Linked DNA regions of Arabidopsis thaliana. The protein of the gene in region 4 interacts with the protein of the main gene of each other region in a pairwise test. Each region holds a gene or a part of one and is shown on either strand. Other genes may lie near its edges.

Evidence for each region.
Region 1: the proteins of p24beta2 (region 4) and AT1G75180 interact in a protein complementation assay, tested with the Arabidopsis thaliana proteins (one large-scale study listed by BioGRID).
Region 2: the proteins of p24beta2 (region 4) and AT3G66654 interact in a protein complementation assay, tested with the Arabidopsis thaliana proteins (one large-scale study listed by BioGRID).
Region 3: the proteins of p24beta2 (region 4) and AT5G17700 interact in a protein complementation assay, tested with the Arabidopsis thaliana proteins (one large-scale study listed by BioGRID).

Annotation. Positions count from the first base shown.
Region 1 is NC_003070.9:28,212,461-28,220,754, forward strand, and holds AT1G75180 (Erythronate-4-phosphate dehydrogenase family protein), read right to left. Parts: upstream 6,342-8,294; 5' UTR 5,914-6,341; intron 5,871-5,913; exon of another isoform or gene 5,687-5,870; intron 5,549-5,686; 5' UTR 5,452-5,548; coding exon 4,735-5,451; coding exon of another isoform or gene 4,639-4,734; exon of another isoform or gene 4,327-4,638; coding exon of another isoform or gene 4,312-4,326; exon of another isoform or gene 3,921-4,311; coding exon 3,690-3,920; 3' UTR 3,376-3,689; downstream 1-3,375. Other genes in the region: AT1G75170 (Sec14p-like phosphatidylinositol transfer family protein), read left to right, coding at 1,945-2,013, 2,111-2,287, 2,370-2,468, 2,553-2,798, 2,927-3,226; AT1G75190 (uncharacterized protein), read left to right, coding at 7,138-7,533.
Region 2 is NC_003074.8:2,086,299-2,093,962, reverse strand, and holds AT3G66654 (Cyclophilin-like peptidyl-prolyl cis-trans isomerase family protein), read right to left. Parts: upstream 6,048-7,664; 5' UTR 5,780-6,047; exon of another isoform or gene 5,315-5,779; 5' UTR 5,270-5,314; coding exon 5,118-5,269; intron 5,002-5,117; coding exon 4,956-5,001; intron 4,832-4,955; coding exon 4,781-4,831; intron 4,608-4,780; coding exon 4,522-4,607; intron 4,225-4,521; coding exon 4,087-4,224; intron 3,990-4,086; coding exon 3,839-3,989; intron 3,753-3,838; coding exon 3,666-3,752; 3' UTR 3,422-3,665; downstream 1-3,421. Other genes in the region: AGL91 (AGAMOUS-like 91), read left to right, coding at 2,165-2,701; AT3G66652 (fip1 motif-containing protein), read right to left, coding at 6,407-6,754, 7,000-7,664. UniProt on the Arabidopsis thaliana protein: PPIases accelerate the folding of proteins. It catalyzes the cis-trans isomerization of proline imidic peptide bonds in oligopeptides.
Region 3 is NC_003076.8:5,828,184-5,836,734, forward strand, and holds AT5G17700 (MATE efflux family protein), read right to left. Parts: upstream 5,808-8,551; 5' UTR 5,564-5,807; exon of another isoform or gene 5,256-5,563; 5' UTR 5,233-5,255; coding exon 4,966-5,232; intron 4,673-4,965; coding exon 4,131-4,672; intron 3,995-4,130; coding exon 3,908-3,994; intron 3,834-3,907; coding exon 3,777-3,833; intron 3,664-3,776; coding exon 3,425-3,663; coding exon of another isoform or gene 3,399-3,424; exon of another isoform or gene 3,321-3,398; coding exon 3,202-3,320; intron 3,105-3,201; coding exon 3,018-3,104; intron 2,938-3,017; coding exon 2,842-2,937; 3' UTR 2,387-2,841; downstream 1-2,386. Other genes in the region: TFL2 (uncharacterized protein), read right to left, coding at 1-355, 468-575, 656-681, 995-1,354.
Region 4 is NC_003074.8:2,451,612-2,458,561, reverse strand, and holds p24beta2 (emp24/gp25L/p24 family/GOLD family protein), read right to left. Parts: upstream 3,324-6,950; 5' UTR 3,094-3,323; intron 2,936-3,093; coding exon 2,738-2,935; intron 2,500-2,737; coding exon 2,313-2,499; intron 2,237-2,312; coding exon 2,129-2,236; intron 2,044-2,128; coding exon 1,910-2,043; 3' UTR 1,644-1,909; downstream 1-1,643. Other genes in the region: AT3G07690 (6-phosphogluconate dehydrogenase family protein), read right to left, coding at 1-180, 274-495, 697-1,330; AT3G07670 (Rubisco methyltransferase family protein), read right to left, coding at 3,945-4,031, 4,132-4,254, 4,346-4,477, 4,564-4,666, 4,770-4,942, 5,125-5,205, 5,307-5,378, 5,627-5,680 and 4 more. UniProt on the Arabidopsis thaliana protein: Involved in vesicular protein trafficking. Mainly functions in the early secretory pathway but also in post-Golgi membranes.

The DNA.
Region 1 (8,294 bases), on a different chromosome or scaffold from region 4:
TATTATCTGATGCCATAATTCGAATCTTAGTTTTTTTTTGTTGTTGTTGTTTATCAAAACAATGATGAGATATTAGCAGACGGGCGGTCTGAATTGATGCCGTGTAGATTGTCTGCCATCGCTACTATGTAGCTTCTCTGAGTATTTGATCTTATTACATTTTCTCTTTGGTTGCGATGATGATGTTGCTAATATATATGTCTGGACTTATGAGATTATTCAATCTTTGAAATGATTGTGCAACCTTCTGAGCTTACTATCAATATTAAGAACCTGTTTTTTTATATCATGTATTAGTAACCATCAAAAGATCGGAAGTTTAATATTTGCAGGTATTGGTAGGATTTTATGTTGAATGACACCTTTTTTTCAATCAAAATTTCAACCAATCCTTCCAATTACTTGACAACCATTTCTATAACACAATGGAGATTGCGGAATTCTTGAAATTATCTGAAAATTGGGACATGTCGGTTTCATTGTAAACTGTTGACTTAGAACTTTAGGAATCCTCGTGTTAACTACAAAAGAAAGTCGCAACACCTCCTTCCAACTTTTATTGTCGTTAAATAAGTTGCATTCGAGTTTTGCCAGATTGTAGTATTTTAAAGGGGTCGTACTTCTCAAGATTTGGAGGAAAGGTGTTTTCGACTCTTTCGATTCATCGTTGTGCACAGCGTGTCTTCATGGCCATGGTTTAGATGTCGCTTTAGATTGTTTCTCTTCAAACTCCAGTTGAATGTTAAGAGATAGTTTGGAATGTAATAATTTAGTTTTCTATTGTAAGTTGTGTTTATCTTTCGTACCTTCCATTTGTTGTAATCGCATATTTCTCATAGTGTATAAGACCGTCCCCAAAGGTTAAGAATCCATTGGTTCTTAATCTTGTATCTTAACAATTACTTAAACTAAAAAGCAAATCTTAGTTTTTAAAATTTTTTCAAAATTTTAGTTTTACTTAAGAATCTAGTATTTTTTTCATTCATAAAAACTTCTTAGCTAAGAAGCAAATCTTAGTTTTTAATCTGTTTTGATTTATTTTTCAAAATTTATTTTTTAGATATTAGCCAAAGATACATCTAAATACACCAATAGTGGTGCTCTAAATAATCATATAATTGTGGCCATACCAATATTTATGTGTGAATTGGACTTGGATAGATTTCGAAATAAACATGTATTTTTGATTCCTTGGGCCTTGCTTTCAAAATTCTATGGCCTCTAAGGCAATTGACACGTGGAGTATGCAGAATCAAGTATACGTGAATCTCACGTGGCGTGCCGTACCGTTCAGTTACCTTAAAATATAATTTTAATCGCTGTCTCTGTTGTTGTCCACTTGTCTGAACTGCAAGCGTTAGGTGAATGTCTTTACTTTTCTTCTCGCAACTCTTTTCATGAAATCAGTTTCAACTTTTCTTCAGCTGACTCTTCTCCGACTTGTCTCATCACTGCAAAGTTCTCTCTTTATTCCTCGTTCTCTGTTTCGGTACTACCCTCGTTCTTCTTTTTAAAGTTTGGGTCTTTCATTTGATTTCATACTCTTGATTTTTATTTTACATCTGACGACTAGAAAAGTAGGTAGATTATGAATCTTTCTGGGTTTGTAGTGAGTTTATAGGAAATTCCTTTGTCTAGTGTTCCAAAATTTGAGTAGATCTTGAACAACTTTGCAAATCTTGTTGATCGATATGTTTGGGAATTGAAAATTTACTAGATTTTGAATTTCTGAGGTTTTGTGTAAGCAGTTGAATGAAGCAGTAGGTGGTTGAGTCATGTTTGGTCTGTGATGTCCTGTCACACGCATCACATGAACCTTGGCTTTGGATTTAACGGCCGTTGTTAGTATTAGGCTAATTATTAACATGGCTTTTGTTCATTGTAGTTAATTTTCACAGAGTAAAGAGATTTTGATACATTGGACCCAAAGTGCAATTTTCAAAAATGTTTCGCTGGAAGAATTCTTCTCAAACCGAACAAGAGCAGAAAGAGGCAGCTCTCAGAGAGGCAAAGGTCAAATATTTCAAGGCCTTGTTGATGATTTTCATTTCACTTAATTACCTAGTTGATTCGTAGAAGCTATAATGCCTTCTGATTTTTATGATTATAGATGAAAGAGCTTAAGACTCTCATAGGTCAGCTTTCTGGAAGGAATTCACTGTATTGTTCAGATGCATGTCTGAAGAGATATCTGGAAGCTAGGAATTGGAATGTAGGCAAAGCCAAGAAGATGCTCGAGGAGACGCTCAAATGGAGATCGAGTTTTAAACCCGAGGAAATCCGATGGGTATGTATCATAACTGCATCATGCTACTAAATCTTAGAGAATTCCTATCCAACCAAAACTTATAATTCTTGGTTTCTATTAGAATGAAGTTTCAGGTGAAGGTGAGACTGGTAAGGTTTACAAAGCTGGATTCCATGACAGGCATGGAAGAACGGTTCTTATACTGAGACCCGGCTTGCAGGTTTCTATTCATCATTTTTCTTAGTTAATGAGTTAACTTCAGGTCACAAGCTGAAACTTCCATTTTCATTGACAACTTTTGTAGAACACAAAATCGTTGGAGAACCAGATGAAACATCTGGTGTATCTCATTGAGAATGCTATTCTGAATCTGCCAGAGGATCAAGAACAGATGTCTTGGCTTATTGACTTCACGGGTTGGTCAATGAGCACTAGTGTGCCTATTAAATCTGCCAGAGAAACTATTAATATTCTGCAAAATCACTACCCTGAGAGACTAGCTGTAGCTTTCCTCTATAATCCTCCAAGACTCTTTGAGGCGTTCTGGAAGGTTAGACAAAACAATACTTCTATCTCATAGTTAGACAACAAGACAACTTTGTTTGTGTTTTGTTCGTCTGTATGTGCAGGAACATGATGGCATTTTCATTTTTTCTTTAATTATGTGTTGTTCCACAGATTGTGAAGTACTTCATTGATGCAAAGACATTCGTCAAGGTGAAGTTTGTTTACCCAAAGAACTCGGAAAGCGTGGAGCTTATGAGCACATTTTTCGACGAGGAAAATCTCCCAACCGAATTTGGAGGGAAAGCTTTGTTGCAGTATAACTATGAAGAGTTCTCCAAGCAAATGAACCAAGACGATGTTAAAACTGCTAACTTTTGGGGATTGGGTCACAGTAACAATAACCAGCTGCACGCGAGCAACGGGTTTTCTGGAGCTGAGATTGCCCCTGAGCCAATCCAAAACCACCCTTGACTGGTTCTGAAGGCAATGTATTATTAAAACCAACCCTTTTGAAATGGACTAACCTTAGCTCTTGATGCTAAGTAGAGAGGTTGTATGATTTAGACATAGCATTTGATTAAAATAAAGAGGGTTTGTGTGTATTAGTAACTCTTGCAAGGCTTGTAAGCGAATCCAAAAACTCTTTACACTCATAAGCATTTTATTTACAGGAAGCAGAAAACAAGATTCGCATTACCAGCAACAAGCTTTGTTTCTTTCAATCTGAATCTCACCAAACACAAGAAGAAGGGAAAATGATTTCTTTCAAAATTTGAAGGCACAAAGAGATTAAAAAGTACATAAAACAAAAATTATACTACACAGCAGTATTAGCTTAGACTATATAGCTTAGAGTTCTGCAGTCAAAAGTGATGTGCAACGGATTGGAGTTAGAGGGAGAGAGTAGATGAAGCTTGAGGCAATTTGAATGAAACTAGATAATCCTCCTTCTGAAGTTTCTGGTGGTCGATTGATAGGTACGCACCAGAAGGCCAACCCCAATGCCAAGACCTACACAGACACCAAGACCAATTCCCACACCAACCCTCACACCAGCGTTGAACCACGACATCTCACCATCTTCACCATCTGCGTACTCTCTATTCCAGTACATGTCGCTGTGTTCTCCTTCATATTCTTGTTTATAACTTCCATATTCAGTAACCTGCACAGAAATTAACTCCCATACTTAACAAAGAAAAATAATTAAGAGACATTCATAGCGATAGTCAGAGAAAGAATACAATCGTCATGCAATTACGCTAATGGTCTTTTTGTTCCAATCTTATAAACTCTTTCAAATGTAGAATAGAGGCTAATGGTCGAAGATATAGACATTGCACTATAGTTAAATAATCTACGGTGAGTATGAAGATCTATCTCCAATAGGTATTGACACTGTCAACTGCAAGAGCCTCCAATTAAAACTTCAAGCATAAGCTATTCTTAACATTGACTCTTAAACAGGGCAACGTTTCCCAAATCAGTCTATGCATAAATTAAAGATAATATACTGTAGCATTACATGTGAAAACCACGATATTCCAACCAATAAGTCACCTTAGAACTGACTGTAGCAGGCAAAAGGATAAGAATTCAGATATTAAGATCACAAGACAAGAGGCAAATGGGAGAGAGAGAGTGTGAGTGAGAGATAGAGAGAGAGAGGGCGAGAGCTATCTATTGACTTGTAAAATGTGGCTGGCCCCATACCTCACATGATCATTTATAACGAAGTTGGTCCACTTCAATATCTAAAGGAATTATCTTCCTTAGAGTACCAACTACCAAGAAACATGTCTCAAAGACTCAAACTATGAAATCTCAAAACCATGAAAAACTTAATGCTCATACAGCCAATAGTGACCATGAAGACTCATATCTTAGGAAAAGCATTCAAAGCATTCAATCAATATAAAACTATTCGGAAGCATTATAATAATCTTGAAAAAATGAAGTACCAAGCAATTAAAAGTTACCTGATAATCAAGCTCAGATGAGTTTCCTTTATGAGGCTCATCAGTTTCATACTCGGGAATCGAATCTAATGCAGTCACTCTACCGTGCTTCTTTCTGAAACCAAGCTGTAGAGTCTTCGTTAGGATGATAGGAGTTCCAGAAAAGCAGCCAGTGACATAGACTTCAATAGTTGGCAATGGAGAAGATAACTCCGAACCACCAATATGTTTCTCCTTCAAGAAACCAGACTCTGCAGTGATCTCAGCTTCACAATTCATGTTCCACCGCTTCACGCTATGCTTAGATTCACCAGTGAAACCATTACTACCAGACATCTCAAGCGTTCCAGACAAAACCAGCTCATCTTTATCATAAACCTCAAACTTCACACTACCAGATAACCTGATATTATCCGTGCTGATAAAAGTAGCAACTTCAGATTTCTTATCAACACGATCACGCCTAAGCTGAGAAGAAACTCCTTCAGAGTACATGCTCATTCTAACACCATTAATCTCCAGAAGTGAATCTGGATCCAAAGGAATATGAGTAATGGTGAGAACCTCAGGTGTCGAATGATCCACCTTGAAATTACTGATTCTGACATAGAACACTCTCAAATCAAGCAATGGCGATGATAATGAAGATGGTAGTCTGGAATTGTGATGGTTATAACTCTGATATCTGATCATCTGGGATGCTTCACCGTTGTTACGTGTCTCATAAGGCTCCACCATGATTAAAGAAAACCAAAATCAATCTCTGTTTCTCACTGAATCCAAAACATATCCATCAGAGACGCGTATATTGTCGATTTGGATTGGAATACGTGTGCTGCAGAAAAATTGGAATCAATGAGAATAACGTGAGAAACATTCATTCCCAAAATGGGGAAATTTAAGGCAATAAAAGAAGCAAAAATCATAACTAATGAAAGAAAGAAAGAAAGGTCAAGATTGAAACTTTACTCACTTGCCACAAAAACAGAGAGATGGTCAAAGAAATCAAAATTTACAGATGCAGAAACAAATCTCTCCAATGTTCTATTTAGAAACCGCAGAGATTGAAAGAAGGTGAAAACTATATTTTTATATCACAAAGGAACAACCTTTGAAGGTAAAACAAAAATTGAAAACCTAGAAAAATCCGGAGAGAAGAAAGGAGAGAAAGAAAGCAAAAAAAAGGAAAGGGAAGCTCACCCAGAAATTTGTTTCCATCCACAAAAAAAAATTGTGAATTTGCACAACTAGTGCTTAATATTAATCTTCCTGTCTGAATCAGAAATTAAACACGGAAAATAATAAAAATAGCAAAAATTTGTGGCCAAGTAGGATTTTTAAGATCCTTCCTAGATCGTTGCTTTCGATATATTGCGAGCTCGGCGCGTGGCGTGGCGACGGACCCCAATTGATAGTCCCAGCAAAAAAAATATGTCTTTTTTGAAGAAAACAAAAGAAAATATCGAAAGTGTGTGAGTCGGAAAAAAGGATCTACAGTGAAAGGGAAAAATAAATCAGAAATCGGGAATAGTGATGGGAACTCGATAGAATTGTCTTTTTATGATATCCAACGAGAAGAGAGAGGCAAGAACCAAGAGGAAGAAGAAGATGGGCTCTTCTGACTTTCTGATCACGTGATCTTATCCCTTTACCAACAAAACAAAACCATTCGCTGTTTACGAGACACACCGCGTCGGTTGTGTTCATCTAAAACGACGCTCATTTTGTTGTTGGTTTTTCTAAACAGTAAGTATTGGGCCTTTATTGGGCTTTTAAATTTACTCCATTTCTTAAGGATTAGTGAACATCGTGCCGTTTTTCTGTTAATTGATCTCACTCTCACATTGTGATCTTATTCATTGTATTCAAAATTCAACTATTCATTGTTCAACAGTATAGAGAATGTCACGGTTCGAACCTCACATGATCGATATAGGTCGGTTTTCAATTAGTATCGAATTATATAAATTCATCTTATATGAATGTCATCATTATGGGTTTGTTGTGAAATGAAGTTTATGTCAAGACCTCAAACCTCACACACAGATTGTAGCTACCAACCGGGTCGTGGTTAGGTGGTGCCGTGGTGGCAATAGTCTTGCATACTAGATTTAAAGATATACTTCTTCTATAATGTCTAGAACGTAGACTGTATATGAACCCTAACTCCAAGGATATATATGTCATACTTGTATTATATTGGTGGATAATAGAGAAGAGATAACCAACGGACAAAAATAAAATCTACTTTTTCTTCTGATATTTTATCTAAACACCAAAGAAATGGGCGGCTTTTGGTTTTTAAAGACTGTTGTTTTTGTTTCTGTCTGTAAAACATAAAAGAAAATTTTATTGCTCTTGAAGATATTAAAAATCAGACAAGCTGTTCAAGAAAAATATTATTCTGTTGAATAAAGTAAACTGATGGGGAAGAGAAGGTTTCAGAAAGCAAAGGAAACGTCGTCAGTAGCAGAAGCTTCATCTCCGACGGAGTCTCAGGCTACAAGGAGACGAAGAGGAAGGCCAAGGAAGAATCTTGAGAACCCAGAAGATTTCAAGAAGGAAGAATCTGAGGAAGACGAGGATTACGAAGAGTACGAGGACGAAGAAGAAGAAGACGAAGAAGCTGAGGTGGTTATTAACAGAGAGAAGCTGAAGAAGAAAGTTAGGAGCAGTAGTGGTAGTATGGAAAAGGAGCAAAAGATGAAACATGAAGAGTTAGAGGAGGAGGAGAAGCCGGAGATGACGGTCAAGGTAGTGGTTCCACCGCCGTCGTCTAGACGGTCGAGGAGGAAAAGCACGCCGGTGAAGAGCTGGTAAACTTTAATTACCGTATCATTAATTAATGGAGTTTTTGTTTTTGTGTGTGTTTTTGGATTTAACTATTGTTGGATTATAAATTAATTGAAACTCTCATGGGAAGAAAAAAAAACAATTGATTTTTGGATTTGTTAGTTCAAAACAAGAAACAAATCTTGTTGATCTTAGTGTTATTTTGGTGCATCAAAATAACTTTAAAACATATATGATGGTGAAGACTAAATTAAATGAATTGTTTCATGAGAAAGCTGTTTAGGGTTATTGTTTTAGTTGTAGTAGGTTGTTTAATTTATTGGTTGCGTAGTTGATGGATGGTTACGTCCCTTTCGAATTTTTATACGATAAATGATAAAAGGTACCATCGCACATGGTGGAACGGATAAGTTAAGAAACTAATGGATATTGCTGGTGAAAGAAGAAACCTGTCTATTATTAAAATCTTTTAACCAAATAGCTGTAATTGTCGATTAAAGTTGTACAACTAATTAATCTTGGAGCAGTGAGAGAAAGAGACTCGACGAGTCCACGTTGATATACTATTTTAATACAAGACATTGTTGGCCCTGCAAGGCCTTCACGTGCGAACTCATCTTCAAAAACATTCCCAAAACATCGAAACCTATCAAAGGATTGAAACTGTCTAAAGTTTTGATATGATTTCGAAACTTTAACATCTTTCCACAAGTTAACACTGTTAGATGACAACAAAAAACAAAAAAGCTTTAGACCAAGAAGAAGAAGCTTTAAAGGCTAACAAAATA
Region 2 (7,664 bases), 370 kb from region 4:
TATAAGTAATTTGTTGTTTTCTGACCAAAAAAAAAAGAAGAAGGATTATTGTAGTCAAGAGTGAAAGCATTTTTCATTATATATATATACAGGCCAACGGTTATACAAACATGCAAGAAGAAATCAGTGGAGGGAGTTCAAATTGCTCCTCATTTAGTGCTGTTGATTCAATGTAGTTTGTGGGTTTTGTATGGTCTCCCTGTTGTTCACAAGGACAGTATTCTCGTCACCACTAGTAATAGTATTGGTTTCGTTAACGAAGTAATCTTTGTGGTTGTCTTTTGGATCTGCTGTGAAGACGAATCACGTGTAGGTCCATCTTTTATACTTAGATATGTCTAATTCTGCATATTGATTTTGATGATGTTGATGTTGATGTGCAGAAGAGAAATGTTAATCTATGTCTTCTGGCTGTGTTTGATTTTGTGACATCGTTCTATGTGATTACTATTTGGGCAATTCAAAGTTTATTCGCCAAGTATACACTCATTGGGATTGTTTGCAACATTTTCAACATTTGTATCTATGTTTCATTTGCCAAGGTAAAGCTTTCACTCTCACTCTCACTCTCACTCTCATTGATGGTTAAGTATTAATTAGCGGTTTTGATTAGTTTTTTTTGTTTGTAATTCGTGCAACAATTAGAAAAAAATGCTGGAGAGTAAGACCTTCAAGTACATGCCGTTTTGGCTGTCGTTAGTTAGTTTCATCAACGCTGGACTTTGGACGGCTTATTCTTTGATCTACATAATTGATATCTACCTCCTTGTAAGTTTTTTTTTTCTTTTTTTTTTTTGGCTTGAAAACTTAATGTATTTACTCCCTCTGTTTTATATGATAAGATATTTTAGAAAAACATTTAGATTTCTATGACAAAAATTAAATTCATTCAAATTTGTGACTATGTATATTCTACATTAAATTTCACCATTGGCTAGATTATCTATAATTAAATATTAAGTTATGTTTTTAATGTAAAAAATATAACAAAAAAATTAGTTAGATTCTTGAACTTTGTGCTTTTATCTAAGACATATAATAATATTTTGAAACAGATAGAGTGATTAATTTTCATTGATTGAATTTCATTTATAACATCTATTTGTTTGTTTTGTGTTATGGAACAGATAAGCAGCGGTTGTTCTGTGCTTTTCAATTAATAGTCCACGCTTGTTCTCTCTGTAAGAGCCAGAAAATTACTCCATCGGAGTCATAATTTGTTTTTACTGAAATTCTAATTTTAAAGCTCTACGATCTAAAATAAAAGAAATAACGAAAAAGAAGAAGCCAAACCGTTTTTACTTTTTTAGGATATGGACAAACAAGTATTAAGATATTTAAGATAATTTATATTAATGGACTTCATTATATATAACATACTTACTTAAAATAAATTTAATTGGGTTCAATACCATAAAAATTTTACAGGTGTCAATTGTCTTAGTGGACAAGAGTCAACTTTTATATATAGAAGTCTAACTAATTTTGCAAAAAGTCAATTGACCCACGTAATAGATTTAGAGACTTATAGAGTTTCGATTTAATTATACCTAACAAAAAAAAAGGCTTAATGGGTTAAACGCATTGCAGATTATATTTTTATTGAATATAAATAATGGTTTAATTTTAAATGTACATAGATGTTTATGATTAATTATACCCAGAAATAATACTATTTAAAAAAAAAATATGACACGTAAGATTATTACTATAATACATAGAAGTTAATATTTTTTTAATATGTGTTTATTATTTGTCAAACTACTATTATTGTTTGTTGGGTGGAAATAAACTATTTTGGTAAAGAAGAAATTTTGTTTATTAACTTGGTAAAGTTCTCCTTGTAATTCAAACTACCATTTAATAAGAGGTCTAATAGTAAGATAATACTAATAATAGTTAAATATCTATGAATATTGATTAAATACATGGAAAATATTCAATGCTCTCATAAGGTAATGCAAGATTTTCAAAGTGGAGTTACTAAATATGTATATATATGCAAAAACAAAAGTTTACTAAAAATATACATATATGATGATGAGGTTCAATAACAACTTTCTCCACATTCATTACTATAAATACATAAAGAAATACAATCTTCTTCTTATATACACAAACATAGATTACAATCACTCAAAACATTTCACACAAAAAAAAAGAAATGGGTAGGAGAAAGATTAAGATGGAGAAAGTGCAAGACACAAACACGAAGCAAGTTACCTTCTCAAAACGTAGGCTGGGTTTGTTCAAGAAAGCGAGCGAGCTTGCGACTCTGTGCAACGCGGAGGTTGGTATTGTTGTCTTTTCTCCAGGAAACAAACCGTATTCCTTCGGGAAACCGAATTTTGATGTGATTGCAGAACGGTTTAAGAATGAATTCGAAGAAGAAGAAGAAGGAGATAGCTGTGAAACATCAGGCTATAGTAGAGGCAATAGAGCTAGACAGGAGAAGAAGATATGTAAACGCCTCAACTCGATTACTGAAGAAGCTGAAGCTGAGAAGAAACATGGTGAAGATCTTCACAAGTGGCTTGAATCTGCTGAACAGGATAAGTTCAATAAGCCCATTGAGGAGCTTACGCTTGAGGAACTCAAGGAATTTGAGGCTAAGATTAAGAAAATAAGCTGTGGGATCCAAAGTAACATTAGTCATATGCAGGCTTCGTCTTCTCTCATGTTTCTCTCTAATGATAATTAGCAGTTATGCAAATGAGAAGGCAACAGTAACAACACCGATTTGGAACTTTCATTTTGTATTAGTCGTTATAGATTTATATGGTAGAGATGTAGCAGATGGTTGGTACAGGTTTATTGATTGTATCTTCCTCTTGATGATCGATGGTTTGTAACTTTCGGTTGCCAAATATTACTATGAAGATTTTCTCTTTTCAAAAACAATGAATTATAACAATATCTCCTACTCTACAAAATTGATAATGATTACGATATGAAATTTTAAAGCGTTATTTGTTTTTTTTTCTCTTATATTATTATAGATTTTGTCTACACACTCTAGATATTTATCTTTAATTAGAAAAAAATACATAAGAGTACACCAACTAATTAACATATTTATAAATGTGTTTTTAACATTTTTAAGTTTTAGTCAAAATAGTATCAAAATACATAATTTGATGTATGTCCTATATATCTTATTCCAAATTATTAAATATTACCTAAAACAAAAATACAGTATTTTTGTAATTGTATTCTATGAATAATTTAAGAATTCCTTAAGAATTGTTTAAGAATTATTTTAGAGTTTTTAAAAGAAATCTTGTAGAGATTTTTAAGAATTCTTAAAGGATTTGTTTCTGGTTTTTCAGATTGTTCTCCATATCTTCTCATATAAATTTTAAAAGACCTCTCTTTTTCTCTAATAGTTTTATGGTACTTAACGGGTATAATACAGAAGTTTTTCTATCATAACAGGATAAAATTCTCTAAAATCAGTTCATGTATTTGCTCAAGTATCAGAAGCATAATTAAACAAAGATTCTATTTCCTCGAGAAAAATCAAATAAAATTACAAAACAACAAGAAACTGTAAAATAGAAAGAAAGAAAAAACCTCAAAAGAGGATTTATACAAAAGAGCGAGTATGAAGAAGGATTTGGCGTGAGCCTCATTTACAGAGGAAGCAAGGAAGAGAAATTTTCATTTCATGTCTCTAGTTTCAGTACAACACCAGTGATCCCTATTGGCGATTTCGGTTGGAAATGCTCATCCGTATCCACTTCTTCGATCTCCTGTAATAATATGATTTAATCTTTTAACACATGAAACTATTAAACAAACCATTCAAGCTGATAGACTGTGCTTAGTTGGATCAAACCTGTACTACATCCTCTCCCTTAAGGACTCTTCCAAACACTATAAGTTGATCATTCAGATCCGGGATTGGGGCCGTTGTGATCAGAAGCTCAAAATCCTTGTTGTTCCCTTTGTTTTTTGGTGTTCCCAACATGAATGCCTCATGTTTTGGGCTGTAACAGAACATATGTAGTTTTTTATTTTTTAAAACCAGCGAGAGATGATAAACATTGACACTTAAAAGCCAAAAGCAGAGCAAGCAAGTTATACCCAATGTGAAGGCGACCTCTGAGCTTTCCTTTAGCTGTCCATTCTTCTACAGGTATAGAGCTCGGTGAGTGACCAGCTTGTACCAAGTAGTTCTTTATAACCCGCTGAAACGGCATTCCCTTGAAGTGATCTTTTTGACTGCAACAATACTCAATGTTCAACTTCTACTATTATATTAAGCTACAATATCGTCACAGACTGATTCAGCCCATTTCTCTTTAATGAGGTTTCATGTTCCAAACAAAAATTCCAAGAAGAGTACAAGAGGACTTAAGGATCAAAATCAGTCAATCAAGAAACTAAAGCTACTTGAATCCTATCAAGCTAGAAGTAATACTCCTATTTAAGAACAAGTCATGACCTAGCTTAATCAAATTACTCTACTGTTCTTTTTCTATCTAACTTAAAGGAAAACAAACGAATTCCAATACTAACCATAGATCTAGAAACTTGTCCACAACTTCAGGGGAACCTTCTTTGAAGAGTTCGACAGTTATAAGTCCTTTTGATGTGTTTATATCCTACATGAGATAGGAAAATAGAAGCAAGATATCATTAAAATCAATATTCAGATAAGACACATCACATTTTTTTTACTTCAAAAACTGATGAACAGAACATAATACCATGATGAGAAATAAGAACAAGGATTAAAACAAGAAACTTAAGCAAGCAAACAGGGAGATTAACTTACAGCAAAACCAGGAAGATCGTAAGTTTTTTGCCCTGACGCAGTATTAGTGTCCTGAAGCAGAAACCAAAGCCAGATCACATATGGTAAATACCCTAAACTCTAAACCTAAGTGCTCGGAAGTTCATCAGGATCAAAACTCAAAAGCTATACATTAAAAAATCTCTCAAGAAAATACCTCAAATCTCTGACTCCGAGTTTCATGTTCAATTGTGTTTCTTGACCTAGGAGATATAACCAATGATATCCTTTTTAGTTTATAGATAATCACATAAAGTAAAAGGAGAATCTACTATAACAGAAGTAATGAAAAAGGAACAATTCAAAGATGAAAACAAACCTTTGGGACCAATGGCGATAGGTTGTGACCAACGATAATATGACTACAGCAACTACAAGATTACAGACAATAATAGTGGAAATACTTATGCGACTTGGACCCTTCTTCTTCTTGCTTTGATTTAGAAGAGCCTGCGGTTTTATCTTCGCCATTGCACCTTAGTTTCGCAGAAAGCAAACGAGGGATACAACTTGTCTCTGCAAACCATAAATCAACAGTAAGTGACAAGCAATCCAGAAAACAAGTATACACTACACAAAAACTCCAAATTCGTATCTGTAAGACTATAATTCAATTTCAAGTTGGTAAAATCAAAACTGCAATAAGATTAAGTTGTTACCCAACTGAAGAAACCCTGATATCACGTATTGACCAGATTAAAAATCTAGCATATTTGAATGAATAAACGCATGTGAAAATATCACAAGGGTTCATACATAGCTTGACCGGTAACTTCCGATACACCAGATCCAGTACTTTTCCAATTATCGATCAAATTGAAATAAATTGAACAAAAGTGGATATGAGAAACGGAGCAGCTTATCATGTTCCAATCAAATAATAAACAGATCTTTCTTTCTATAGAAATCCAAAGACCTGAAAGTAAAATCAAATGAATTCCAAGGACTTTGATTGCTTCATTGGGTTCTCGAAAAACGTACCTGGAAGTTAGAGAGAAGAGAGGAATCGTGGAGATTGGTCGTTGCGTCGATGGAAACTGGTTTGAATTCTCTGCTCTCTTTTCTCTTTTGCAGAGACGCTTCAGATCAGCCGCGTGTTTATCCGACGGCTACGAGTCCACCTCACCAATATCCGACGAATATTATTCCACAAACAAAAATACAAAAGTTGATCATTTTTGAAAAATCGTATAGTTCGGTCTGGTTTTCTCATGAAATTATCTGGTTATCTATTTGACCCAAGAAAATGATTCTAAATTCAAAAGAAAGTAATTTTACTATGGTCTAGTGGTTATCACGTTAATCATACGGTTTCCGCCCTAATTGTCACTGGTTTGATCCTTCGCTGCATCATTTGATTTTGCATTACACATACTAAACTGTAAATATAAATAAGCATTGGTAAAAAAGTCAAATTTTCTACGTAAACACTTACAAAAGGGAAAAAAAAAATGCACAAGCAAGATCACTTAAAAAAACCCAGGTCACAGTCAATTGTTCGGTTTTGTGATTTTCTTAGCCACTTTTTAATTGATCGGTTTAGATATAGCCTACCATCAATAAACCGTTATTGTGTTAACCTGAAACAAGCCATCCAATATGATCTTTTTAACTTGCACACCATCTCCTCTTTCTAACTGGCCTCTGTTGATTAGTAACATCGGCTTTAGCTCTCAGTTCAGTTTGAGATTTGAATGTCGCTTCTACCGCCAATTTGGTTCCCTTGAACCTCTCCCTCCGTTTCTCCATCTTTTTCAGACTCTCTTGTATACGTTCATTGTCTATTTCAACACCTTTCACTTCTTCTATTATCTCGCCTTCTTCTTTGTCATTTATATCTCGATTCTGCATAGCTTTCTCTTCGCTTTTGCCCATTAACTTTCTTGGTTTCTGAACATCTTGTTGCTCGATTGTATCTCCGCCATTGGAGAATCTTTTTTTTGATTGGTTAGAGACCTGAAACACACACACAAAATATCTATCACATGAGAAGGGTCTTGTTCTTCATTGTACACTAACTGATGTCTAAATATACGGATGTGAGCAACATAAAACCTAAGTATAGAAGACAGACCATATAAAGTGATAAAACAGTCAGAAATAACACAAAGAAAATCCAGGGATATAAATAACTGAAAGGCGTTTATACTTCATTCAAATATAGGTTTAAAAGCATGTAGATTTAGTTTCCCAATCTTTACCTTTCCTTGCCTACCAGCTAAGTCAACATGATCCTGACGCTTGATGAAAGCATGCCCATCTCCTCTCAGCTTCTTGGATCTGTGATGTCTTTCATCATTTTCATGAATATGGCTCTGTAAATATCCAAACCTTTGTTTGGTCGCCATCCGATTATGTGTCGGTACTCTTATGTCGCGGACAAATATCTCATCAGTATATGATGGATGCTCAGAATTAGAAACTTCTCTCATTGAACATTGCATGTCATCTGCCATATTATATCTTCCTCTATCAGGACCAACCCAATCAGCATCATACTGTAGTCTATCTTTTACGCTCACATTATGGCTACGACCAAGATTCTGCGTCCAGCCATCTCTCGGTGCAGCCTTATGAAAATGGTTATTCTGGCTGTCATATGCTTCAGGTGTTCTGAAGTCTCTGGTATCATCTCTCCGGAAATCACCTTTTGCTTCTTTGGTATACCAAGAATCTCTCAAAGATAAAGACGGTGAGGACCAACCATCTTGGATTCTATACTTATAACCATCTTCCTCTGAGACAAATCTATCAAGATGCCAATCATGAATGTAATGATGTCTTTTCTCTATTTCAGAGAATTCCTCATGTCTTTTATACCCTTGATATTCTCTCATTTCCACTTCAGCAAAAGAACGCATCTCCC
Region 3 (8,551 bases), on a different chromosome or scaffold from region 4:
TGCACCGTTACTATTGTTGACTGGTCCTCGTAGCTCGTTAAGTGTTGGATCATATTCTTTCTCATTGTCAATCAAACGAACTTGTCGGGCCATCCCAACACTCCCACTGTTGGCTTCAACTTGGTTGGATACATAAGCATTCTTCGCTTCCACATCTCTATTTAATAGACTCGAACCGCTTAGGTCTAGTGGATCAGGAATGTCAGGAAGGCTAGAGTTGTTGAGAGACGTAGAAGAGTCAGATTTCTCAGTAGCATCATGTGATGTAGATGTTAAACGTTGCTTCTTCTTCATCTGAGAATGAGGACCTGCATATTTGCGCTTCCGTTTCCTACCAGGCTTTCCTGGCTTCAAACTTTGAAACATATGAAACAAGAAAGCAAATCCATACATTAAACCAAGAAAATCCATGAAACAATCAATTCAAAAGTATCACAAAACTTTTATATAAGATTCCATTTACTTACCTTCCCTCAAAGGCATCTATAACATCAGCAATAGACTGGAGATTCTCTAAAGGCTCCCATGTGTTGGCAGTTTCAGGCCATCCGCGCCTTTCACAACCGAGTTTATAACTTATGTCAATGGAAAAACATATGTTTAATCAAGAACAACAAACTTAAAAATGAAACCAAGTAAGATTAGAAAAACTCACCATTTAATTAGATACTGAACCTTGCCCTACAAATACAAAAAAAAAAACAGTACCAAAATGCAGAATCAGAATCATTCAATCAATCAAATCCAAGAAGATATCAAACATTAAAGATCATTTTCTTCCTACAACATATAACAACCACAGAATCAAAACTTTGGTTCGTTATAAACTACTCTGTTACGATGATTACTAACTACTAAAGCAGCCACTTTCTCACACCAATGTGTAACCTACGTTTGATACTTATCTTAAACCTAGAAAACCTAAAACCTCAACTAATTATGGTTAACAAAAACAAACCACATTTGCTGAGTGAAGACGAAAAAAGGAGCTTACTTTTCGAACTCTCTTACGACGAATAGCTTCAATTTCATAAAACCCTTCATCAAGCTTTGGCCTTTCCTCTTGCCCACCTTCTCCTTCTCCTTCTTCATCTTCCTCATCACCTCCATCATCTTCATCCTCGTCCTCTTCTTCTTCTTCATCTCCATCCTCCGTAGGCCTATCATCACCAATCTCGCGAAGAATCGACTCTCCACTTCCACCTCCACCTCCCCCTCCGCCGTCGTCACTGCCAAACCCACCGTCTCCACTAATTTTCCGGCTTTCTCCGACTGTTTCCACCGCCGTCTCCGCCTCACCAGCTTCGTTCAACACCTGGGGTTTCTTCTTAACAGCACCACTTGCCCCTTTCATTTCCTGAGTATTCGAGCCTCCCAAACCTGAAGGAGGAGGGTGAATCAAGGTAATCGCGTTCTCTTCTCTTCTTCTCCTTTTTAGAAATCAAGGATTTTGGAGGAAGAAGATGAAGAAAGATTGAAACTTTTTCTCTATTTCTGAGGTTTTTGTTTTTGCAGGAAGAAGACCTGACCTGACCTCAAAGACCAGTTTTTTCACTTTTTTGGATTCTCTTTTTTTTTTTTTTTTTTAATATCACAATAGGAAAAGTTGAATACAGCAAATTCTTAACGTTTATAATCTAATTAGAAGAGATTATTTCTAATTACTAATATGAAAATAATAAATACTACTGAAGAAAATATGTGAAGGTAAATTAAATCGAAAAATATATTAAACTGAAAACATTTTCTTTAAATTAGAAATAAAAGAACATCGTGCTCTTGCTCCTTTTACAAGGAAATCAACTAGGACATTATTACAACTTAAAAAAAAATCAAAGGAGATTGAAAAATCAGAAAATAAGTCTCATAAACTAAGATTCTCACTCCAAGTCTCCAAGTGCACTGCAAAGGCAGACAACTTAGTTGGATCTCCTAACATCATCATCAATAATTTTCAGCAATATCTCATCCAAACCAACAGAAAAGAAAGTCCTTCTCCAAGATAAACTTCATCGAGATTCAGATTCTTTCATTCCAAAGTATAGTTATCTTGATAGTAACTATGTGATTACTGCTCGAGTTTTAGCCTCAACTTTTGGTGGGCTAAAGTTCTATTTTCTTCAGTTTAGTGTGTTTGTTCTATACTTTGTCCAACCAAAACTTGTTTCTTTGTGATTAGTACTTGTACACTAAATGATGCATGTTTTGATCGCTTTGTTAAATTTGAATTGTTACTATAAAATTTGCAGTTCTTTTTTTGTTTAAACGTTAGAAAAATAATAATTACTATTATTATTTAAAATGGTGATATGAAAGAAGTAAAAAGGAAGAAAAAAAACATTCATTAGGATCGGTTCATAAATAGGGGGAAAAATGGAACGTTTTGACTTCAACATAAATAAATGAGTATTTTATTTGATGGTGAGCTTATGAAAGTTTGTAACGTTTCCTCGAAATATATATGAGAATATTTTTTTTGTAAAAATTCACGATTACAAGCACTCAAACAAATGGAATTTTTTTCCCCACACACAAAATATACATCCATTAAAAAATCAAGAAAGAAGTTAAAATTTCAAACCTCCCACAATTTTTTTTTTGTTTAGAAAGAGTATATCCGAAGAACAAGAGAACAACCTTTTTCTCTGATAAAAGAAAAAGTTCATCCTTCTTAACCTTTTTCAAAGTTATGAGAGTTGCATTAACCTAATAATGCAATCTCAACACCGATACTTCATTCTTAGGGAATGCAAAACACAACCACAATACAACATAAATTATTCTTTCTTTTTTTATAAAGAATTTCTTAAAAGATTTCTTTAAATTAACTTAGTTGTATGTTCACTTTCTCTCTTCATCTCTTGTGGAGATAGTAGTCGATTGTACAGCAGGTAAATTTAGAGTCCACGTTTTCATACGCTCGTTTGTCTTCTTAACCTGTAATTAGATAAAATTATACATTTAATATGACGAATTTTCTAATAAAAATTTTGAGTTATATATTAAAAGTAAATTACCTCCAATTCCCAGTCAGTTTTGTAAATAACATAACACAATATCAACGTTTGGATACCAACTCCAGCCAACATTCCGGACCAGAGTCCCTGCATACAATATCATTTATTCAAGTTAAAATTCTAAAAGTTCTAATGATTGATCATAATGAAGTACTGGATACCAGTTTTCATATATATGATGTACCTTAATCCCAAAATTGAAAACGTAAACAAGGAGGACACCTAAAGGAACACCAATTGCATAATAAGATGCTAAGTTCACTAATGCTACCATACTCTGCATCCCTGCTCCAATTGCTACCCCTGTTTATATATGTTCAAACAAATTTAGTGGTTACAAATTAGTGAAATCTAAAAGTTTATGTTATAATTTATTTATGTCTAATATAAGGGTTTTATTTTGTAACCAGATAGAATGGGCTGGATGATGTTGAAGAGTATAGATATGCTAAGGACGATGGAGAGATCAGCTACTGCATCCGAAACTGCTTGGCTATCAGAGAACAAATACGAAATCTGACCGCCAAACGCTAGGCAAAGAGCGGAACATATCACACCGATCACCGCTGATACCACAAGCACCACTTTTATCGAGAATCTCACCGCATCCGCATCGCCTTTTCCCAATTCATTCGCCACTCGTACACTACATTTTCGGATTCATAGATAGAGAAACATTCACTTTAGTATTAAACAAATAATATATGTATACATCAAAAACAAAATACTGTGAATGAGAGTACGTATATAGTTACAAACCATGCTGCACCCATCAAGCCAAAGCATATGTTCATCTCCCATGAGTAGATATATTGGCTGCAAATTTTGAATTAAGTATTTAGTTTTCATATGTATATGGAAAAAAAAACTTCTTCGGATTTAAGTAATACCATATGGAGAAAGCGGAAATTGCGATATTCGCATCCTTTGCATATCCAGACATCAAGACAATGATGCTCATATACCAGTACTCTAAGCTGTTTGAGGCAATAAATAAACAAGAGAAGCAAAAGAAGAGTCATTAGAAATTTGTATTAGCCTATTAGTAGTGGTCCACGCTTAATAATCATGTTTTAATCCCGCGAAAAAAATTAACAAATAAAAGCAAGTTACCAAAGCATGAAGCCGGAGGATATGGATAACTTGAGCATGGGAATAAGATCAAGAAAAGCAGCAGTGCTAAAGCCGGTCCAAGTATGCGGGCACCACCCTCCAAACACATATACAAACTCGGCTATGGCCACCGACCATGAGCTTATATTAAGCCCTAGAAGCGCACCATGGATCCCCATCCCCATCACGCTTACGCACCACCACGTGGCCGCAATGTCCAAGACCAAGGCTAGGGTCGAAAGAATGCCTATGATGGCGTTTTTCATCTGCGCTTGGAGGTACATTTGCATTGTCATGGTGAACACGATGCTGTAGAGATAAGGAATGACCCATGGGTAAATCTCGTCTACTGTCTCGGAGATCACAACGTTTTGGCCTAATAACCGGAGAATGGGACCCGCTAAGACGATGAAAGGGACGAAGAGAGTTGCAATAAAGGTATCTACTATCCAAGAACGTTGTAAGTATATCCCCATCATGTGGTATTGTTCTGCTCCGTATGCTTGTCCACATAACGTCTCTGTCGCACTTGACATACCTGCCTGTAATAATAATATTACCATGCAATTCATATTCTCTACCATATAATTGGTTATGAGTTGAAAATACAATAAACACTCATTCATTACATTATATCAGAAAGAAAAAAAAATCATTCATTACTTTTTCATATAGCTTTCTGCTTAAATGTTAAAAACAGTGTGAAACCACAACATTTTACTATTAGTACCAAAAAGTCTTTAGCGAGAACAAAATATCTATTTTTGTAATGAATTTTTTTTGGACGAAAATTATAGTACTATTGTTTTAACATATAATATATGATGGATCGTACCATAATACCGTAGATGAAGCGAATGAAAGTGCTTTGAAGGAGAGCATAAGCAGCGAGACCCGTTTCACTGGAGTGGCCAATGAAGGCTTGAGCCACCACTACGCATCCAAACGACATAACTCTGAACAAAGTTGATGGTAAAGCTATTCTCCACATCTTCCTTACTTCACTCCAAATCTTTTTTCTCAAGTAGAGACTCTCTCTCCTTTGTTCTGTCTCTGACCCATTTAACAGTCTCTCTTCCATTTCTCCACCACCTCCACTCATTTTTCCTCTCTCTTTGATTTTCTCTAAGTAAATAAAAAATACATGTAGAATTTTAACTTATTACTACTGTAATAGACATGCCACAAAGATAACTTGAGCTTAATTCAAAGTTTCATCCAGGTTTAAGAAAAACAAAGGGTCGTCAAGACTACTATGTAAATATTAAACACCAGTGAGTGATCAGAGAAGCTAAGTATATCCTAAATTCAGCCTAAATCCAAAAGCTTAATTTCTCTTGACAAAATCTTCACGGATAAGTCACCCTAAATATGCATGTATATGTACATATTTTCTTAAAGAATTTATTGATGTATGGAGGTGATTCACTTACCTGTTAAGCTAGGTTCAAGGGGAAAGAGTCGGAGAAACCGAAGAACCAACAAATTAAATATTAGTAACCCAGAAATATTCAAAAGGAAAAAGAAAAGAGGGCAAGAGAAAATAAGTGTGATATGATCTTTTCTCTCTCTCTTTGAGAATGTGGTCGACTTAAACTACAACGCTTGGCTATATATACTGACTGAGAGAAAGAGAAAGAGAAAGAGAGAAGAGAGAAAAGAAAAGGGTTAAGTAGGTCTAGACGTGTATATTGGGACAACGTAATAGAAAAGTGTATATATACACTCATATGTGGAAACATTTTAGAAAGTAAAAGCGTCGTTTTGTTTGTTTAAGGGAATTAACAACGTGCAATTTTTAAATACTAAGTGTTACTTCTGATTAATTTTAAGTGAAGTTTCACGTCAATTAGAGATTAACAAGTTACGAATTTATTATTGCGAATGATTAACCCTTTTTTAATTTATACTTGGAAAGTATATAAATTGAAACTTCTATTTTGTATAGTACATGATACATCTATACTATATTTCGAGATAAATGTATGTTATGATATTGATCATCTTTTAATGAATTATGCGTTTCGTTGCTTATGAATATCACTCATATGCAAAAATGATGTATGTAAACATCATGCAAAAATGATGTAATCATGTAAGTTAGACACGGAAAACGATATATTTTAGAAAAACATCACTACTTTCTGTTAAAAAATCTCTAGTTTTATTTCACCTAGTGGAAAAATAGTTACGCCCAAAGAATTTCGTTGCTGTAAATTACAAAGAAAAATACAAATCTGTAGTAAAAATACATACGTATATACAGTTGTGGAGGGTGAATTGTGGAGGTGTTGTTGTCCACGACTCCACGTGCCAAAAACAATCATTTAATCCATGCAAATGCTATGCATCCATCCTCAAATAAATCAAACTTCAGACTTTGGAGTAAATGAGCATCTAATAAGAGACGGAACTCTCTCTTCCTTTCTCTCTCTGACACAACCTCAAACAAATCAAAGTTTCGACTTTCAAGTGTCGTTTAACCGAGTAATAGAAATACTACTACTATAGATTATAGATATGATAAAAAAAATGTTTTAGCTTCTTTTATGTATTCGTGTTTTACTATTTTCAATTTCATAGTTACAAACTACGCAAACGACGTCCCGTTTCCTCAGAAGAAACTCAGACTCATAACTATCGATCGGCGATGTTTTAAAGACAGACACCTTCGACGACTGGATAGGAGGACACGACGGGGACCCATACTAGCTACACGTTATATGATTTAATTTTGACAATTCATTCCTACCAGTCCACGTTTTTATTGGATACTTCCATCTGTTTTGTTTTCATTTCAACGCTTTATATCACTAATTTACTATTACAAATCCTTAATCCTACTTTTTTCCGTGATATACTTATTGAGATATTTAGTTTAATTATATATTTTTGTTTATTTACTATGTCACTTATGACTCATCTATCTAACTTTTTGGCCAGAGGTATAACTAACATTTGTCATCGTCAAGAATTGGAAAAAGAAGTGAAAAAACAAGGTATTAAATGGCAATATGAGATGTATCCAACAAAAAAATGAATTTTGTAAGTTTGGCGCAGGCATCCATGTGAATGTACTTAGTAATACTAGTAGTATCAGAAGAACCACCGTCATTGTGTTTTGTATGTTCTTGATCACAGTTTCATCTTCCTATGCACTTCGATATAATTTTATATTTTAATATATATTTTCTACTTTCGCTTTTGTAAACCAAATTCCCTGCTAAAAAAAAAAAAAGTAATAACCATTTTCTTCTATTTTCATGAAACATAAATATAACTTTCTTTCTATAGTTTTCATGAAAATAAATGGCTCACCTAACCACTGACATGGGGGACGACGGCCTTTTGAGCTAATAGCAGAAAGAGTGGTAATTCTGTAAATTATTTATGTTCTTTTTTCATATATCTTGTAGATAGTAATCTATTAATCATTTAATCTTATGATTTTTCTTCGGAATTTTCATGATTTCTAGTATGGGTTTGGTTTACGAAGACTTAACCGGAATTGAATTGAATTGGAGTGTTGGGAGGTTATCTCATCGGTTTGATTTAAGTATGAGACTCCGCATAAGACAGAGGATCTCTTGGTAGGAAGCTCGTGTTTCTGTGCCATCCAGCGATGATTTGATAGTGAATTTCCCGACGATAAGATTGGTTGAGACGTAGCGTATCATTATTCTGAAGTGCATGAACTCATAAACTATTGTATGTTCTTTCAATATCGTGTTGCGATTCTAGTTCCTAAATCGAATAACATGGGAAATGGATCAAACCTAGCTCAGGATTTAATGAACTCGTATAACGATTGTATCCAAAAGTCTCTTCGAGAGAGTATAGCCGGCCAAATTTTAGTTCTCTATGTAAAATATTAAATCAAGATGATGATCAGATTATAAAAGAAGAATTCAATTTCTCTATGTCATTGTTGTGTTGTGTGAAACTTTGACCGGTCAGTATTATTGCTAAGATTATTAAATTTTGTTGTTAAGAGTTATTCAAAAAGAATAGGCGAAAAATGAGCAGAAGAGATTTGAGATATAATTAACAACAACTCATTGTAAAAGTTAATGAGAATCGAAAGATCAATTGGTAACTTGGTGGAAGATGGATCGAGCATCGAAGATTGGTGTGAATGTGTCCACTGTCGATATTATTAGAATTTATTAGTTTCATTGATTGTTATTTATTATGAAAATGGTATTATTTCGTTCGTGTCAATAAAAAGGGCTGGACTTAGTTAGGTGGTTTCATAATTTCATTGAAGAAATGACCGAGCATAGCTACGTAGACAAGTCCTTAAGCACAGCTTCATATATCTATGTCACCTAGTTTTTTGGTATCGCAAATAAATATTTGCGTCTTTAAATGTGATTGCGATCAAATCTATATTTTTGTCTTCATATAATTGATATTAAACC
Region 4 (6,950 bases):
ATGTTACATAGGTATCCGCAAGCAAAGGCCCAGCGAGTTTCTCTGGCTCCTTGGCCAATAAATGAGTAATAAAAATCATCTCTGAAGTACAATGCGCAAAGTACACTGATTTGCTGGTAGCACTTTCCTTAGTCAGTGTAGCCACCATTCCTGTGGAATACAAAAACGCCAAAACAAACACTAGCTCATAAACTTTGACCTCTGATCACCAGTTCCAGTAATTTACTTTGAATCACTATTATTCAGATAACCATTTAAGACACCTGATCTTACCTGCACCAATGGCATAAACATTCTTCAAGCCACCCATTACTTCATGAGTAATGAGGTCACTATTATCCCAGACTATGAAATGAGACTGCCTTAGAAACTTTCCCAAAGGCTTCCTCCATTTTTCAGACCCGCAAATCCGTGCATTGGCGTACTCTTTATTGTATACCTCGGAAGCAATATTAGGTCCCCCAAGGTAGAGAATGTTCTCAAGAGGAATACCAGCTGCAAAGAGAATATGACAAGCAAACTGTAGAATTTCCAATGACAACAACTACTGATCATACACTTCAACGCCAACACAGTCAATACTCATATAACCTTAATAAAAATAGAAAGTTTCTCTACATCAACAAAAATACTAAGGAAGATGATATCAAATATTCATCTAGCAATCAGATAAAAGACAATGGGAAGTGAATTTACTCGCTCGATGGATCATTTGCGTAGGAGTAACAATCCGAGGATGAGGCTCAAACTCTGCTTCCACACCTTTAGCCAAAGAGATAATAACAGGAGCATTAACCCTCTCTTTCCAATACTTACTAATCTCATTGAACACCTGAAACGTCTCAGTTGATGGTAAACCATTGATGACAATATCAGCATCCCAAACAGCTTCTTGAAGATTAGTCACAACTTTCAAAGGACACAAAGGAGTCTCAATCATATTCAAGCAAAACCCATCTTTCAATATCTCATCAGCATATAAAACCCTATCCCCTAATCTAGCTTCCACATACTTGAGATAAGCACACCTTCTTATCAACCTCCTCAACAATTCTTCCCTCGAATTAATCACTTCGAACAAATGTTCAGCTGTGGCTTTATCGATTGCTCTGCCTCCTCTTCTCCAGATTCTCACACTAACTTTGCCCCTAAACTTACCGTAATTTTCCTGCAACATTGCAATGAAAACGCTTCCCCAAGCACCAGCTCCTACACCAACGATCCTTAACGGGTCGTCATCAGCTTTACCCATTACTCTACGAATCTCATCAAGCCTTTCTTCCACCAATCTGCTCGGAACTGAATTCGTCTCCACCAAATGATCCATCATCAACAAAGCCTTATGATTTCTCTTTCAGTGACTCAATCCACTAAAAACACAAGCAAGCTATGGAACAAAATCGGACTTCTTGTCGGATTTATCAATGCTTAAAACTGGAGACGACTTTTTCAGGAAAGTTTGTGTTTTTATTTTATTTTCAGGTAACTTGTACGACGACTAAGAAAATGATAGCTGGCTTTATCTATCTACTCTGGGCCCAACTAACTTAGTCTAGTGTCCACTTTTATAACCTTCTCTATAAGAGTTCGAATCCAGTTAAGGGATTTTGAGTACTTTTGACACGTCTTATTCAAAGCTTGATCACATTGTTATTCTCTTTGTTTTAGGGAAAAAAGGTTTTAAGGAATCACTATTTTCTCTATTGAAATGAAAACCTAGCTTGTGGAAAAGTTGTCTGTTAATAAAGAGAAAAAAAAGAATTATCATCACGAGAGGATTAGTTCTTGAACATGGGAGAAAGCAAATCTTCCAATGAACTACGATCTGTCTGTAAAAAGGTTTTAAGTAAAGATTCCCTGGTACATTTTAAGGCAAAATAAGTTCAAAGTCATAATAAACTCGATACTTTTAGACACGAGACATGCCGAGTTTGCGTTCAAACAAGCGACGCAGAAGATAAACTTGGAGAAAACTTGCCCCAATCAGTGCAAACGACTCGAACAAAGCTTTGTGTACTGCTCTTTTGCTCATGTTCTCGTTCACTGCACAAGGAACAACCATATTCAAACCATCACTCAATATTGAAGTGAGAACAACAAATGTGGTTTTTAGAGGAAAAAATGTTACCGATAGCTTGACGATCGGTCTGAGCTTCTAACCAATGTTGTTCAAATTGGATGTTGTAAAGAGCCTCCTCTAACTTTGATATTTGCTCCATCAAGGGAGTGAAATGCTCTGCACAAAAACCATCTTCAGCTAAATACCTCATCACCAAACGAAACTGAAACAAAACTAAACAGATAATCCTTACCGTCCTTTGCGTGTTGATCGTAGTATGCAAAGTGACCAAGCTGTACATCGAAGTCAATGGTTTCATGATAAGGAGACTTGTTTGTGAAACAGAATCTGTAAACCCCTTTTTTTTGGACAACAAAATCATGCTTTGCGCTTATCTGCTCCCTGAAGTCATGAATTTGTTCGCCTGTTGGGCCATGTATCTATTCAAAATGCATCCAAAATATATCAACAACAACAACAACCACCAAATTAACCAGATGGTACAATATAACAGCTTTAAAGAGTAACCAAATTCTTTATCAATACATACTTCAAATTATCTACCAACATTAACAATGGAAATCCTAAGCATTGTTTAGGAATACCAATTCTATTGATTTTCGACGATTTTGCAATGTAGAATGTAGAAAAGTTCAATTAGAAGAAAAAAAGTCATACCACAAGATCTACACCATCCTCGTTAAAATGCCATTGAGAGTCAGACTTGATGACGACGAAAGAGACATGAAGCGTATCACCTTCATATTCAGCCTTGTGGGAGAAACATTCTTCACGGTCTATCACGAATCTAATCCCTAACGTAGCCTGGAAGCTCCATAAGAGCCCTAGTAATACGATCGTACCCTTCAAGCTCATCTGCCACAATAATTTCGAATTATATCAAAGCACAAAACGCAATTCAATCGTTTAGAAGAAGAATCGACTAGAGATTCCAAACCAAACCAAATTGAATTGTTCCAATTTCGATTCCTACGAGGTGATTAGGTTTGACACAGAGAGTGAGAGGGATTTACCTTCTTGAGAAGATCAAATCTGATGATTGATTGATTAGATCGATGGAAACTCGATCTGGTCGATGAGTGTTAAGAAAATTTGAAGATTGATCGGAGTAGAAGACGGTGGAGAGAATTGGATGAGAAAGAGCGAGCTCGTTCAGAATCGGACACGAAGAAGCCTGTTTTGACTCAAGGGGCAGTTTCGTTACCCGACAAGATCATCAAACTATAAACGACGTCGCTTGCTTACTCTTTGGGTTATTTGGTCAGCGGGCTTACGTGGCGTTATATCATTGGAGATAAAACATCTTTAAACCATTTAGATATTGCCACGTCATATTATGTCGAAAATGGAAACTCCATAAAATCAGTACGTTTCATTAGGAAGACTTTATAGGTTTCTCGTTTTTTACTTTGCCACAGTGGAATGTTTACTTGCTTTGCTAAAGAAACAAATGTTCTGACGTGTACCATCAGATTATCTTGTTTGCGGTAACAAGGAGTGTGAGTTTTGGTACGGTTTTCGTTATGAGTTGTAGTCAGATATATTCTTAATTTTCAAATTATCTTTGTTTGTTGGATCGATTATTTCAGTTCGATTCGGATCAAATACGAAGAACATGTTTCTACCCTTACTCTCTCATGCGTTTCCTTAATTAATCAATTTAGGTTCAGGTTTTGAGTTTATAGAAAATGATCAAATTACATATATGGCTGGACCAATATATTCCTATACGAGTGAGACAGATCCAACCATGCCTACACCAACGTTCAATTTTTTTGTAATAAAAAACTACATTTTTGGTTGAAGCACAACGAGGCCTACCTTTGATCCATCTTAAAGCTGTTGAAATGTCCTCATTCAACATTCACTTGAAGAAGTTCCTAAGTCCACTGAAGAGCCGTAGAGCCTTCAGCTCACCACTTCTGATATCTCTCAGTCTCCTCCTCAGAATCTGACCCAAACAAAACAAAAAAAAAAACACAGATTCCACAATATCATGGATCGATCCACAGACTCTTATCTATCGTATTGGCTAGAAAGTTGTTCCTTACGTATTGAGCACGGTACAGTATCCTGCGCTCACTAGTGGACAAGTCTACAGCTAGCTGTTTCAGAAACGCTTTTCGGTTCAACTGTTTTGGAGATGTTATGTCCAAATCCATTGATCCACTTTCCTACAATTAGATAATTGACAAAGCAAACTATAAGCAGATGGAGTGAAAATTTTCCCACAAAGAGAGAGAGATGAGCTGTTTTGTTACTTACCTTTAGAAATCGGCTGTACTTTGATATGCTTGTTTCGCATGAGTCCAGTATGAACTGCAATGCGTCTTCCTCGATTTCAGGATATTTTAGATCATTCTTTGTTGATGTCTTATTTGAAGCAGCTTTCGCCATCTGAAATGGATAATAATTGATAAGAGATGTATTATGAATTTGGGAAGAATTGGATGGTAAAAAGGGTCAAGATGGAGTTGCCAAACCTCTTCAAAGTTGTTTCTCATATCTGGAGGGCTCACCACAAGATAAGCATATGCCATTAGCTCCATTGGCCAACCCGTTATCCTTACGGGAAAGCATTGAGGTCTGCCAGAGAAAAGTTAACACAAACAATCAAAACAAAACTCAAGTTAATCAAGAGAGATCTACAAATTTGAGAGGGGAACATGGATGGTGGAGAATGGAATACGTCGATAATCCGTGTTTCTTTAAAGCATCCAGCTTTTCCTCGTAACACTTATCGTTTTTCCTAAGTGATAATGCTAGTTCTACTGAATCACTAGGATTGGTTCCTTCTCTGGGAACAAACCCATAAGATAACAATAGCTCTCCGTTAGATTTATTCCCATAGGATATGAAAACCTGCACAATGTCATGTTACTGAAACATATCAGAGACTTCAGACAACATTGGTTCCACTTTGGACTGACTTACTGAAGCGCTAAAAGGCAAACTGTGTAAACGGGACTTCTTTGTGTTATACACTGACTTATATTAAACTTCAATGCTCGCTCAGGTTATCTGAATGAATTTATCTTATTTACCTGCTCACCTGGTTGATATGGTCGATCTGTTGTAAAGACAACTCCTTTTGAAGATTTATCATAATCCAGGAACGTCTCAACCTTTCCAAGCAGATTTTGAAATATTGATTACCATAAGTCAATCATGCTTTCTGATTAGGAGAATCTAGGAGCTAATTGGTCATAAAGATAAGTAGAAGTACCTCACAATTATGATTAAGCATATCTGCCCATGGAACTAAGGCAAATCTTCCATCCATAGAAGGCAACCGCACCTGTGTTAGAGAAGCTTAAGTCTGAATTGCAGAGACAAGCACGCAGCACACGGAAGGAAAGAGAAACGAAATAATGCAATATTTTGGTTGTGAGTGGTCATTGTTCAAACAATAAATTGTTGGAGACAGCTATATTATGCAGAAAGTCATGCTAAGATTAAAGAACAAGTCTGTTGTTTCAAATTCAAGACATCTAGATTTACATCAATTATCAAGATAATGATTGCTTATGATACAGTAGTTCTTACCAACCGTGAGAATAGGATTCCAAAAGACCACTTAAATGTCTCATCATTGAAAACCTGCAACCAAGAAATAGCACACTCATATACATGTGGACAAAACAAATTTAAGCTCAGATAATAAAATAGAACCAACACTAGTTGTAATTACAGAAGTGCATCTTATTACATGTCCAAATAGTAAGCTGTAGCAAAATGGGCGTATACCAGTTACCTCTTTAGGGAAAAGTTGAGGGTGTTTGGAAAATATCCTGCTTCTTAGATCTTCATAACTGAGGAAAAGAAAAAGGAAAAAGACATGAGCAGTGTCTTGCAAGACATAATCATCAACCCCCTAGCCTACAAACAATAAGTACTAGTGACTGCATCAATGATTTCCAGCAGTTGAGAGAAAGAAAGAAAGAAAGAACAATATCTCACGTTCCAACAACATTGGTGATTCTTTCAATTGCCCGTTCTCGAATCTGAGAAGCTTCCAAGTACATATCAAGCTCTGTCCGAGTCCTGAAATAGTACAAAAAGGCTGTAGGGAGTAAGAAACTGAGACCAAAGTTCAGCTACAGAAACAAGTACAAAACTTACCAGTATAAAAGCGAGTAAGGTTGTCGGGGAAGAGCTGAGATATAGTTAAACCATCTTGAGCTTTTCTGAAGACTTGCTTCACTTATAAGATAAGTGGCGAGCAAAGGCCAATCTGGAACATCATAACGTTTCATCACTTCACCAGCTTCTGCGTTGGTCCATTCCTAAAACCCAATCTCCGATATTAGATATTCACATTCATGAAAGCCAGATACTTTAACCTTGCATTGATCTGAACAAGAGGTGAGGGATTGCTTGCAAGTGAGATCAAGGAATATAAGATTAGATTCTTTGATTCCGAGTGAAATTAGGAGTGTGAACTTACGGAATCAGCACTGATGACGAGAGAAGGAGGAACGAAGAGCAATTTCTCTCCTTTTCTGAGATTCTGTGAAGCGACGAGGCCTCGCTCACCGATGTCGACTCTATCAATAGCCATTTTCTGCGGAGGGAGACCTGAATCAGAGAGCCAGTTCTGAAGAGAAGTAGCGTTCTCAAGTGAATCAATCTCGCATCCCCATGATATCTTCGGAGCTTCCTCCATGGATTGTATTGTAGTCTCACCGGCCGAAACTGAGCAGTGGATTCCGGGACGGCATCGGGACAGCGGAAGCGGTGAGAAAGAGAGGGTGATGTTTTGATTACGAAGTTTGTGAAGTGGAGAGTAAGCTGGGAGTAGAGTAGACTGCAAGAGGCAAGCTTTTGCCATCGGAAAAGAGAAAACGATGAAGCGAGAAGACGAATGGTT